Schizosaccharomyces pombe: one gene and its partners. The gene in region 3 interacts genetically with the main gene of each other region. Each region holds a gene or a part of one and is shown on either strand. Other genes may lie near its edges. The genes, in order: rum1, mst1 and mcm4.

Region 1 (3,757 bases), on a different chromosome or scaffold from region 3:
AGCTGTTTACAATTACTTGTGTAGCTTTTTTAATGCAAACGATTTTAGAATAAACTTCAAATCCCTAAAACTATCGTAAAGTAGTTCGTTTTGAGCGATTGGACGGATTCGTGGTGAAAGGTGGTTGAGTGGTTTCACGAGTGCTTGTCCTGCTACGAGTTGAGGGGTGCTGAGGAACGGAGGGCACATTACTGACTCGTGAAGGTGGACGAAGTCTAGAGGAAGTTTTAGAAATTATACTTTTTCTATTTGAAGAATTGAGACCATTATTAGGAATCGAACTTGCTACGGATGGCAAGTTGGATGTTGGTATAGTAGGAGCAGAGGAGGTGGCCGATTTTGGAATTGCGGATTGGCGATGACTTGCAAAAGATGAAGAAGGAGTCCTAAGTGAGTTTGGGTTAGAAGTCGTAGCCATGCTAACCCGAGAACGCACATTCATGGATGAAGACCTTGGGAACATGGGAAGGCCTAGAAGGTACATATGAAGATGCGGCTCTTCTTGCAGGTCGGACCTTTGGATCTTTAGACCTTAATAACCTTTGCTGCTGTTGTTTTTGAAGAGCTATAGCTTCCTCTTTTTGCCTTCGTTCTTGTTCAAGTCGTTCTTGTTCTTGTTGTAATTCGATCTTTCTCTGCTCTTCGGCTTGTATTTGAAGCATTTTTTGATGTTGCAATCTTTCTAATTCTTCATTATCAAAAGACAAACCTTTCCAGTCGCTATTTAGTATTAGATTCTGAGTATGCTCCGTTTGGCTTAGAACCGATGACCATAATTGTATTAGACGATTCGAGTTGTTAATGGAGGTTTCGAATGACTTTATTTTTTCTTTAGAAGCAGAAAGACCATCCGTAAGCTTTTCTATAGTGTAATTAAAGCTCCTTAAAATCTGTAGTTCTTGTTGCAATTCAGATGTCATGTTCAAAGAAAAAGATAGACTATCCTATTAACTGAAGACAAGAAAAAATCACTAAAAAATATATAATTAACTCAAGTATAGAAAATAATTTCTTGTGTGCAATTTAAGCCTAACAAAGTATTCGATTGAAGATGTGCGAATTGTTTAAAGAAATTCAGTACAAAGAGTAGACGAAGGTTGTTTTTATTTTTTTTTACAAAAAATATAATAAATTAAATGAAACAGTTTGAAAAGAAAATTGCAGCGACTCCAGTTGTCCCTTAGAATAAGAACGATAGGAAATATGAGGCAGAGGTTAGTGTTTACACAGGCAGAGAAGAAGAAATGAATTGAATAAAGAGTTAGTTATGTGCATTACATTTTGATAATAGTTTTTGAAGAGGAAACATATTTTTAATTTTTAATTTAACGAACCTATCATTTTAATTGTTTCATTTGGCAAATGCATTGATACTATTTATTGTAAACAATAGGTAATGAAGCGTAAAATAAGTCATAACATGAACATTCATTTATGAATATTTTAATTATTGACCAATATGTTTATAATATTTTTTGATAAATTATGTTAGTAGCGTATTCCTTAAACACATAAATAAACATTGTCACGATTTAATTTTTAACAATTGTGATATATTTTGGAAATACTTAGCGATGTAGCAACCGTGTATTTACTTTGCATATTGCTGTTCCCATTTCGATTTGAAAATGGTGTTTGAAAGATAGTCGATTCTTCATAAATCCATTTTTCCTGCATTTGAGCTAAGGTAATAAATATTGCTTATACCATCAATTTGCTAATAAGGAACAATCTTAACGAAATATCCCTTGAATTAGTTTTGATAGTACTTGCTTTTAAATAACAATAAGAGACTTATTTCATTTACCATACTCGCGAAGTTTCTTCTTTATTAGAACTTCAAATGTAGTTTACTTTTATTTACGGTTTTGCAGTCATATATTTTTATTTTCGAACTGGAATATTTCTATGATGCTTAAAATTGTTAGTAAATTTTTTAGATTTTTGCTAAAGAGAACAGAAAATCGATTCTCATTTAAAATCTAACTACACATTTATGCAAAAATTGTACTTGATCAAAGTAATTAATTTAGCGTACTGCGTTACAGCCATCTAATAGTAATGGTTACCACGAAATGAGCAAATAACCAGTTAACCAGAACGTCAAACATACAGTTCTACTACTACATACATAAGCTTTGGGTTCCTTGACAGCGGTTGTTGCAAACTGAATTTTTTTGTTTTGGATTATATATAATATACAATCAATTGATCTTGTTTAGTCTTGATTCGTGTGTGTTTACTTGAGTGCTGCAGTAATATATTACTAAATTGTACGAATTTGGTCAAAGAGAATCCGCTTTTTTATCAGTTTTTTATTTTTAAAATTTAATTTTGAATTATACTCTTTACAAGGAACGGTAGCATCTTTATAAGAAATCGAGCATTCAATTTCTATGTGAAAAAGTTGAATTCGTCTAAGCAAACAACCAACTAGTTTTTAAATTCTAACATTAGAAAGAATATTTTTCCTTGTTAATTATTCTATTTACAATTTTAAAGTTGGCACATATCTTTTTTTGATTGGTTGATTCTTTGATATTTTAGCTGCACTTACTTCTTGGTATGAAGTGAAATTTTGCTTTTTAAAATAGACATTTTCCCATTCCCGTTTTCTAAAAGATTCCTTTTTTTTGTTTACTCCGAAAATTTCAATACCTTTCTTACAAGCTACAATCCCATTTTGTTCCTTCCTTTTGATATATTGAAGCCATTTCAATTGTTTCTATATTATTTCAAACAATTTTACAAATATTGTTTAAATTGTATAATTATCAAAGCGCAGTCGCTAGCTTGGTGGGTATTAAATTGTTACCTTTTCGTTTGCTACAGGTAACTTGTGAACATTTCTGGTGCTGAATTTTCCTACACCCAAAAACCATTGAAAAATACATTTTTTAAATCATATCGGAAAGCTTGAATACACGCTCTTCTGATAATCCGCTCGATACATAAAGGATTTCTTCTTGCATTTACCTGGTTTTTGGATTGTCAGTTCGCTATGGAACCTTCAACACCACCTATGCGAGGGTTGTGTACTCCATCTACCCCAGAGTCTCCTGGGAGTTTTAAAGGAGTCATCGATGCTTCGTTAGAAGGTAATTCTTCTATTATGATAGATGAAATCCCTGAAAGCGATTTACCAGCACCTCAAGTTAGCACATTTCCACCTACACCTGCTAAAACTCCCAAAAAGCAATTACTACCAAATTTAATGCTACAAGATCGGAGTAATTCTTTAGAAAGATGTATGGAAGAAGACAGAGAACACAATCCTTTTCTCAGTTCATCTGATAACCAGCTTTTGTCAAGAAAGAAGAGAAAGCCTACTCCTCCTCCTTCTGATGGTTTGTACTATGTTTTTCGGGGGAAAAGAATCAAGAAATCCTTCAGGCCTGGAACTGATTTATCTACTTTTAAGCCCAAACTCTTGTTTGCTGACTCGGCGCCTTCTTCTAGTTCAGATAACCCAACATCCTCTGTAGACCTTAATGACTATTCTCAAATTGGCATTCTCCCTCCAAACCTGAATTCTATTGGGAATAAAATGTTCTCGTTAAAATCAAGGGTTCCATCTTCCTCGTCAGGTTCCTTTGTTGCTCCCCCACCGCAAATGCGTTTACCTGCGTATTCATCACCACAAAAATCACGATCTAATACAAAAGATGAAAACAGGCACAATTTATTACGATAACTTTTTTTCGCATTTTGTAATTGTGTTTGATACCGTTTATATAAATGCCCAATCACGAAATAC
Region 2 (3,757 bases), on a different chromosome or scaffold from region 3:
CATGGAGAGCATCCAGTCCACCTACTGTAAACATTAAGAACGACCCTTTTATTGTAGATAGACAAGTGCTAAACTGTTTGGCTCGACAAGTTCAAGAAGAGAACAATCACTCCGTAGCAGTGGCACAGCTTCAAGAATTTTCTTTTCGTTTCGAGCAAAACCTTATCGCAAAAATTAAAGACACGGTTAAGCAGTTTGAGGGCATGATGAATCAAACCCATGTCAAAGCTATTAATCACCTCCAAGAAGTTGTTCGCGTATCAGAAGCACAAACCCTTGCTGGCGAGTGGACCGGATACGCAAAGCGTGAGCCGGAATTTATTCATGGCTCTGTTCCCCCCCGCAGCGTTGATGCTATAAAATATCCTGGTAAGAATGACCAACCCACTGTACCTATCATGGCTGGTTATTTAATTCGTAAAACAAGTTTTTTAAAGAAAAAACAAAGAGGTTTTTATGCCTTTACACATTCTGGCTATCTTTACGAATTTAAATCTTCTGATTCACTTCAAGATCCTGAACCCGAATTCGCCCTTTACATACCTGATTGTCTGATCGGTCGCCCTTCTGAGAAGAAACCCAAGTTTAAAATAACTGGCAAGGATGCTACTAAGAAAATTTTTGGCGCGCGAAACGATTACGCGTTTCGCGCTTCTAACAACACCGAACTAATGAGATGGTGGGAAGCGTTGAATACCCATATTGCTAATGTGAACTATATACAACCTTTAAGCAACGCAAATGGTCCATCAGCTGTTTCCGACAGTGATGATGATGATGATGATCCAAATGACTTCCGTCCAGCCGTCGAGCGTCAAAGTTCTACGATGAATACCCGTATGTCGCAACCAAGCTCTGCTGTCAATACAAATCGAAGTTATGGTTCGGAACAAATTCCCTCATACGCAGATAGCCAAGGAAATTCTGGCGCCAACAACAACTTTATTTACAACGCTAGTGCTACTGGTCATAATGCTTGGAATGTATAAAGATTGTATATTCGCAAATTAGGTACGAAATGTGCTCATGTATATTTGTTACACTGCCGTTGTGTTTTAAATGGCAGTCTTTGTAACTCCCCCATACCCGTCTTAATTGTATCTTTTTGATTCCCGTTTAAAGCACTTGAATGTTGATTGTGAACCATTTTACTGTTACTGTAATGAATTCATGATAGTGTTTCTTGATATATAGTGAACTTTTGAAACACCAGTCAACAAATATATAGGTATTATATATAAACTCAGAATAAATACATTTTCTGTTCACCCATACCTGTGGCTGATGACTGTTTCAATCGGGAAAGTTACTTTTTAATGTAGCAGGTTTCATTCCGATATATCTCAACCGCTCGTTTCATGTTTATTAATTTAGCAGCTGGGATGATGGTATATACCTTGTAAATAAAGTGCCTAACATACTTTTATTGGTTTTTGTGAATTAGCTGAGCGCGTTAGTGAAGTAAATTCCCTTAATTATGAAAAGTACTTCTATTATTCCTTATTGGCATTATTCTTTTAATTGGAAACGGAAAACTGAAGAATTGTATTACTGTTTATAGCATTTTCGGTACTTTCTGGACAAATTTCGAATATACTCGTGTTCAAACCCGAGAAAAATATTTTCTAGATTTTTATATTATCAAAGAACACTAATTTTAATTGAGCATTTCAGGATTTTTGAAGTTGATCGTTTAATTTATCACAGCTATCTTGATATGTGTAAAATGAAAGTATTTATTACTCTTTTCATCCTTTCAAAAATTTTATTAATTAATTTACTTTCTATTGGAAACGAAAAGGTTAGCATCGTTTGCTGTAAGCGCAGGTTGAGAATAATTACGTCGATGCTATAATAACGAGCGAAACTCTAACTTTAAAAATCATCTCGCTTAATGAATTTCAAGGTAGCAAAGATTGTAAATTCGTCGAAATTTGCTAAACAATTTAATTTAAAGCAGTAAAGTTCACAAAAAACATACCGACATTTAACGAATCGGTAAAGAAATGTTTTCGAAACTAGCAAAACTCACCACCATGAAAAAAAAATTTTCAGGGTGGCTACACAATTTGTACATGGAATAAGTATCCACTTATTGAGACTCAAGATGTCGAATGATGTTGATGATGAGTCCAAGATTGAAACAAAGTCTTATGAGGCTAAAGACATAGTTTATAAATCCAAAGTCTTTGCATTTAAGGATGGAGAATATCGAAAGGCGGAGATTTTAATGATTCAAAAAAGAACTAGAGGCGTCGTCTACTATGTACACTATAATGACTACAATAAACGTTTAGATGAATGGATTACAATAGATAATATTGATTTATCGAAAGGAATTGAGTATCCACCGCCGGAGAAGCCAAAAAAGGCTCATGGAAAAGGAAAATCCTCAAAACGTCCAAAAGCTGTTGACAGACGACGATCGATTACAGCACCTTCAAAAACTGAGCCTTCGACGCCTTCTACGGAGAAACCTGAACCATCCACCCCTTCTGGAGAAAGTGATCATGGATCAAATGCCGGGAATGAAAGTTTACCGTTATTGGAGGAAGACCACAAGCCCGAAAGTCTTTCAAAAGAACAAGAAGTAGAAAGGTTACGGTTCAGTGGCTCAATGGTTCAAAATCCTCACGAAATAGCTCGAATTCGTAATATAAACAAAATTTGCATAGGAGATCATGAAATTGAACCTTGGTACTTCTCACCGTACCCTAAAGAATTTTCGGAAGTAGATATAGTTTATATTTGCAGTTTTTGTTTCTGCTATTACGGATCTGAGCGACAATTTCAAAGACACCGCGAAAAATGTACATTGCAGCATCCACCCGGAAATGAAATATACCGTGATGACTATATATCCTTTTTTGAAATTGATGGAAGAAAGCAACGTACATGGTGTAGGAATATTTGTCTTTTGTCCAAACTTTTTCTGGATCACAAAATGCTTTACTATGATGTTGATCCCTTTTTGTTTTACTGTATGTGTCGCCGCGATGAATATGGATGTCACTTGGTAGGATATTTCTCAAAAGAAAAAGAGTCCTCCGAAAATTACAACCTTGCTTGTATCTTAACTTTACCTCAATACCAAAGACATGGTTATGGCAAGTTACTCATACAATTTTCTTATGAATTGACCAAGCGTGAGCACAAACACGGCTCACCTGAAAAACCACTTTCTGATTTGGGGTTGATTAGTTATCGAGCGTATTGGGCTGAACAAATCATCAACCTTGTGCTTGGAATGCGAACTGAAACCACTATTGACGAATTAGCCAACAAAACTTCAATGACTACTAATGATGTGCTACATACACTTCAAGCACTAAATATGCTTAAATATTACAAAGGTCAATTTATTATCTGTATTTCAGATGGAATTGAGCAACAATACGAAAGATTGAAGAACAAAAAAAGAAGAAGGATCAATGGAGATTTGTTGGCAGATTGGCAACCTCCTGTTTTTCACCCTTCCCAACTACGATTTGGATGGTAATTCTGTACAAAGAATGGATTAGATGCTGGTCGTCTTTCTTAAAAAAAAAAAAAATTCTCATAATTAAAGTATCTCCTAGATATATATTAATGATACTTAAAGTTTGAAGGAATAGAGACTAATTTGTAACCTTTTATTTCATTTTAGTTACTTTTGTAATTTCGATATTCCTTTGATTAGAAAAGCCTCTGCTATTGCCTTGGTTTTTTCGGCTGCTCCATTTTGCAGGATAGCTGGATATCGTATACTAGCCCACAT
Region 3 (3,757 bases):
TTATGAAAAGACTTGTTCGTTCCACCAAATAGCTGTAGCAAAAGCCCCTTTTTAACATCATCCATTTCGTAAATGCTAGGTGCCAGAGACCGGGAAAGAATATCGTATATATCGTCCCGCTTTGAAACTTGTTGAATTTTTTCCACTTCTTCGTCTGATATTTTCCGTACTTCATCAATTTGTAAAGCAGCATCTTCAGCAATATCGCTTTCCAACGTAGAAGGATCCGTACCCAAACGACGTTTGTCCTGCTTTTTTATGTGAACAACGTCGACATAAGTTTTAAATAATGATTTTACAGTACGCATGCGAGGGTTCAAACGAACTGGTACACAGCGAAAAATCCCAGTGACTTCTATACGATCTCCTGCTCTAGCAGAGTCAACCAGTTCATCATATACGCACAGACTTACAGAGTGTGGGGTTTGGCCATCCGGTACCACGTCAGGTGTCTCTTGGAGTTTAATAACTTGCTTATCGGCGAATTCAGAACGATTATGAATTAGCTGCATTGCATTTGTAGCACCACAGACTTCTCTAGGGCATTTTATGGGCTCAGCAATTCGCCCTCTATCGATTTCCACGGTAACACAATGACCACAAACTGAACATCGAAAAAATGCTTGCTTCATGTCGGGTATTACAGGTGTACACCTAAGTACCAGACCTTTAATAGAGATCAATTTGTCAATGTCACCAGGATTAAGATCACGCATATTAATGCATTTTTCAAGATTAAAAGGACGAATTTTGTAAATTTTAAGCTCAATGTCATTAAGAACATCTTCGGGAGGATTAGTTCCTAACAAGTCTAGCATAACGTCTTTAATGGTTTGATCCATGATAGGAATGATTTCTTGAGGGTATGAGTAAAGCTGGTGATATAGCTTCTTGGTTGGGGGATAATGCTTTAAATCCTGAACATCAAGATTTAATATTTCCAAACCCATAATACGCATGTTTCGTAGCGCTTCAATATACACTAGTTGTTCGGCATCAGGAGGTGGCATAAGTTCATTTCTGTATTCAGGTCGATACTTTTTCTTAAACCCACGTAGAAATCCACGAAAGGAAGCGATACTTTCTTGAATAGATACATTTGTTCCCCAAATGACACGGACAGTGTCATCAGCTACTTCACTGCTTGGGTGCGCCTGACTAAACGTGAGTGCATCTGACCCAGAAAACAACAAGCTACTAGGAGTGCTTACCCCGGGACGTTGAGGGTCAACTTCTCTTCGACGAGATGGGGTAGACATTTGCACGCTAGAATGGATGTCTCCACGTCTTGTCGAGCGCGGTGTTCTCTGCGAACTACTGTCAAGGAACAAGTCATTACGCTGAGATAAAAGATGAGAACGTGAACTCTGAGGAATGTTTGGACCTGGTGAACTAGATTCAAACAGTAAAGGAGAGGAAGCGAGAGGTGTACGCGCTGTAGTCCTCGGTGTTGTAAGGCGTGTAGAACCAGGAGACGAAGCAGGAAAAAATAACGGAGAAGAATCCACTGCTTCTCTTGAAGAGCTGTTAGCTCTTCCAGGAGTCCTCAACTCATTGGCTCTGCCACTTTGCTGACTAGAGGACATGACTCGTGGTGGGTGTAGAAAGACAGTGTAAGGGAGTAGAGTAACTACTCATAAACATACAACAATGAAGAGATAAATAGCATAGCAAAGATTTAAATAATTGGAAATTTGTATAATTTTTTAACAATTTGTCATATTCTCCATTGATCATCAAGCTACCAGTAATTGACTATGAAAATGTAAACTAAAAAACTTTGCGACACTAGATATTAGGATCAATTAAAGCAAATTTGTTATCATAAATAAGGTATTATGAATTTGTTATTGACTTACTTCCTTTTAAGTGATATTCTATTTTTTTGGACGAATGAAGAGAAATATGAAAAGAATGTTGAAATAAAGGATTACATTGCTTTAATTAAACGTTATGCTAGTTTAACATTTTGAGATGATCGTTTTTGCAATTTGGAACTACCAGTTGTATTTGAAGGTCGAATCTATTAACTGTGATTTGACGCTAATTGAAGAGGGCAGATGGTGATTTAGTAATTTTACTAATAATATTTCTTAAAATAAGGTTTATTTTGAATTTTCTCTCATATTGAATACCTGAGTTGTTATTATATTAACCATTTGTAGAGTTCATTTGACCATTCGACTACTGGACTGTCTCTAATAAAAAAAACTTAAGTCTGTATATTATGAGTTATATGGTGTGAATTTCAAATAGTGTATGAATGTATTTTTCTATTATTTCTAGTGAAATACCATTGTGTAGGACGCATACTTTTTCTCGATTATGTTTTGCTCTTCAAAACCTGAAAGGATTATAGACATTTATTGTATCTTGATTTTCTTCTATGTATAATTGGTGAAAACTGGTTTATTCTGTTTTACTATTGATGCCATTAACGATGATACAAAAATTGGCTTATGTCTTTTCAAGGCCCTTTAAGAGATGAATTCCACTGCATAGTGGAACGTTCCTTTTCCTTTTAAAGTGTAGTATTAATTTGCTATTAAAACATCTTTTTAGGCGAAACCATCAAATGCGGCTTGATAAATCAGCTTCAAATATTAGAGCAGTTAACCACCTAAAAAGATTGTCTATTACATGATAAAAGATGATTATAGTGGCGACAATTAGAAAATTAAATGATTTTGAGAAATCATGTCTATAGACATGATACGTTTGTGTGGATTACTTTGCTCACTTGCACTGTGTACACTGCATACTCAACTATACCACAACAATTCACAAGGTCAATAATCGTGAGCTTTTGAGTTGACAAAAAATAAATTACAAATGGAATCAGTTTTTGGAAGAGTAAGAAACGAGACTAGCGAGAGAGGAAAGTATGGATTAGTCTCCGTAAAAGCTGGAAAACTTCAAAGAAAGCCAGGAACGAATATTCTGCAAGCTGATCACCGAAAAGGGTATGTACTATAATAATAATATAGATAGTAGTCCTTTCTACTGGGAAAACGAAATTCTACCCAAAGAATTGTTTATGAAGCTTCTTTGCATGTTTACGTTGGAAGGATGCGTGAAAATCCACACTGTTGGGTTTTGTGGAATTGTTTTCTGTTTATAAAGTTAAAAGATCTGATTTTTAATACTGACATTTGTTTAGAGTTATCTATATGCAAATGGCTTCTGATGAATTATTGCATTTCTATTGGAAAGAAAGGGCCAGGGTTTCTAGAGAAGTAGAAGATGTATGAAGACAATTTAAATCAATTGCAAAGTATACCTATTTATATATATAAATTTACTTTTGCGTTTTTTTTTTTTTAATTTGGTTTATGTTTACTAACATATAATGAAGGACTACATCATATTTCCAGAAGAAGCAGAGTTTATCAAAATTGATGAATGTACCACGGGACGCGTATATGCACTAAAATTTAAATCCTCTTCGCAGATTCATTTTTACTGGATGCAGGAGTATAGTGATGAAAAAGACAAGGAAACAGCTTCCTTAATCAATCAATTAATTGCTGACCCTGTGAATACGACTCGGACTATCAACTCACATAATAATTCTAGCAGTAGAGGTACGGATGATTCATCAACCAGCCAACTGCTGCAACTGTTTGGTGCAGCAAGCCAAGATGCTCTGCAAGACTTTAACTGGGAAGTTTTATCACCTACAGCCGAAGCACCGGCTATCCTGCCAAGATTTCCTAACGTTAACGAGTCAGCAAACATGTATCGTGCGTCAAGTGAG

The links.
Region 1: of mcm4 (region 3) and rum1, changing one suppresses a phenotype caused by changing the other (phenotypic suppression), as found in Schizosaccharomyces pombe (one study listed by BioGRID).
Region 2: mutations in mcm4 (region 3) and mst1 impair growth when combined (synthetic growth defect), as found in Schizosaccharomyces pombe (one study listed by BioGRID).

Annotation. Positions count from the first base shown.
Region 1 is NC_003423.3:2,797,588-2,801,344, forward strand, and holds the start of rum1 (CDK inhibitor Rum1), read left to right. Parts: upstream 1-2,089; 5' UTR 2,090-3,001; coding exon 3,002-3,694; 3' UTR 3,695-3,757. UniProt on the Schizosaccharomyces pombe protein: Regulator of cell cycle G1 phase progression. Ensures the correct sequence of S phase and mitosis in the cell by acting as an inhibitor of the cdc2 mitotic kinase. Probably interacts with cdc2 to inhibit its action until the cell mass for Start is reached.
Region 2 is NC_003424.3:4,561,126-4,564,882, reverse strand, and holds the start of mst1 (histone acetyltransferase, KAT5 family Mst1), read left to right. Parts: upstream 1-2,053; 5' UTR 2,054-2,107; coding exon 2,108-3,499; 3' UTR 3,500-3,646; coding exon of another isoform or gene 3,647-3,757. Other genes in the region: slm1 (cytoskeletal signaling protein), read left to right, coding at 1-989; ATP-dependent RNA helicase Rpm2, read right to left, coding at 3,647-3,757. UniProt on the Schizosaccharomyces pombe protein: Catalytic component of the NuA4 histone acetyltransferase (HAT) complex which is involved in epigenetic transcriptional activation of selected genes principally by acetylation of nucleosomal histones H4, H3, H2B, H2A and H2A variant H2A.Z.
Region 3 is NC_003421.2:898,231-901,987, reverse strand, and holds the start of mcm4 (MCM complex subunit Mcm4/Cdc21), read right to left. Parts: upstream 1,601-3,757; 5' UTR 1,587-1,600; coding exon 1-1,586. Other genes in the region: 19S proteasome regulatory subunit rpn1302, read left to right, coding at 2,833-2,963, 3,161-3,245, 3,356-3,757. UniProt on the Schizosaccharomyces pombe protein: Acts as a component of the mcm2-7 complex (mcm complex) which is the putative replicative helicase essential for 'once per cell cycle' DNA replication initiation and elongation in eukaryotic cells.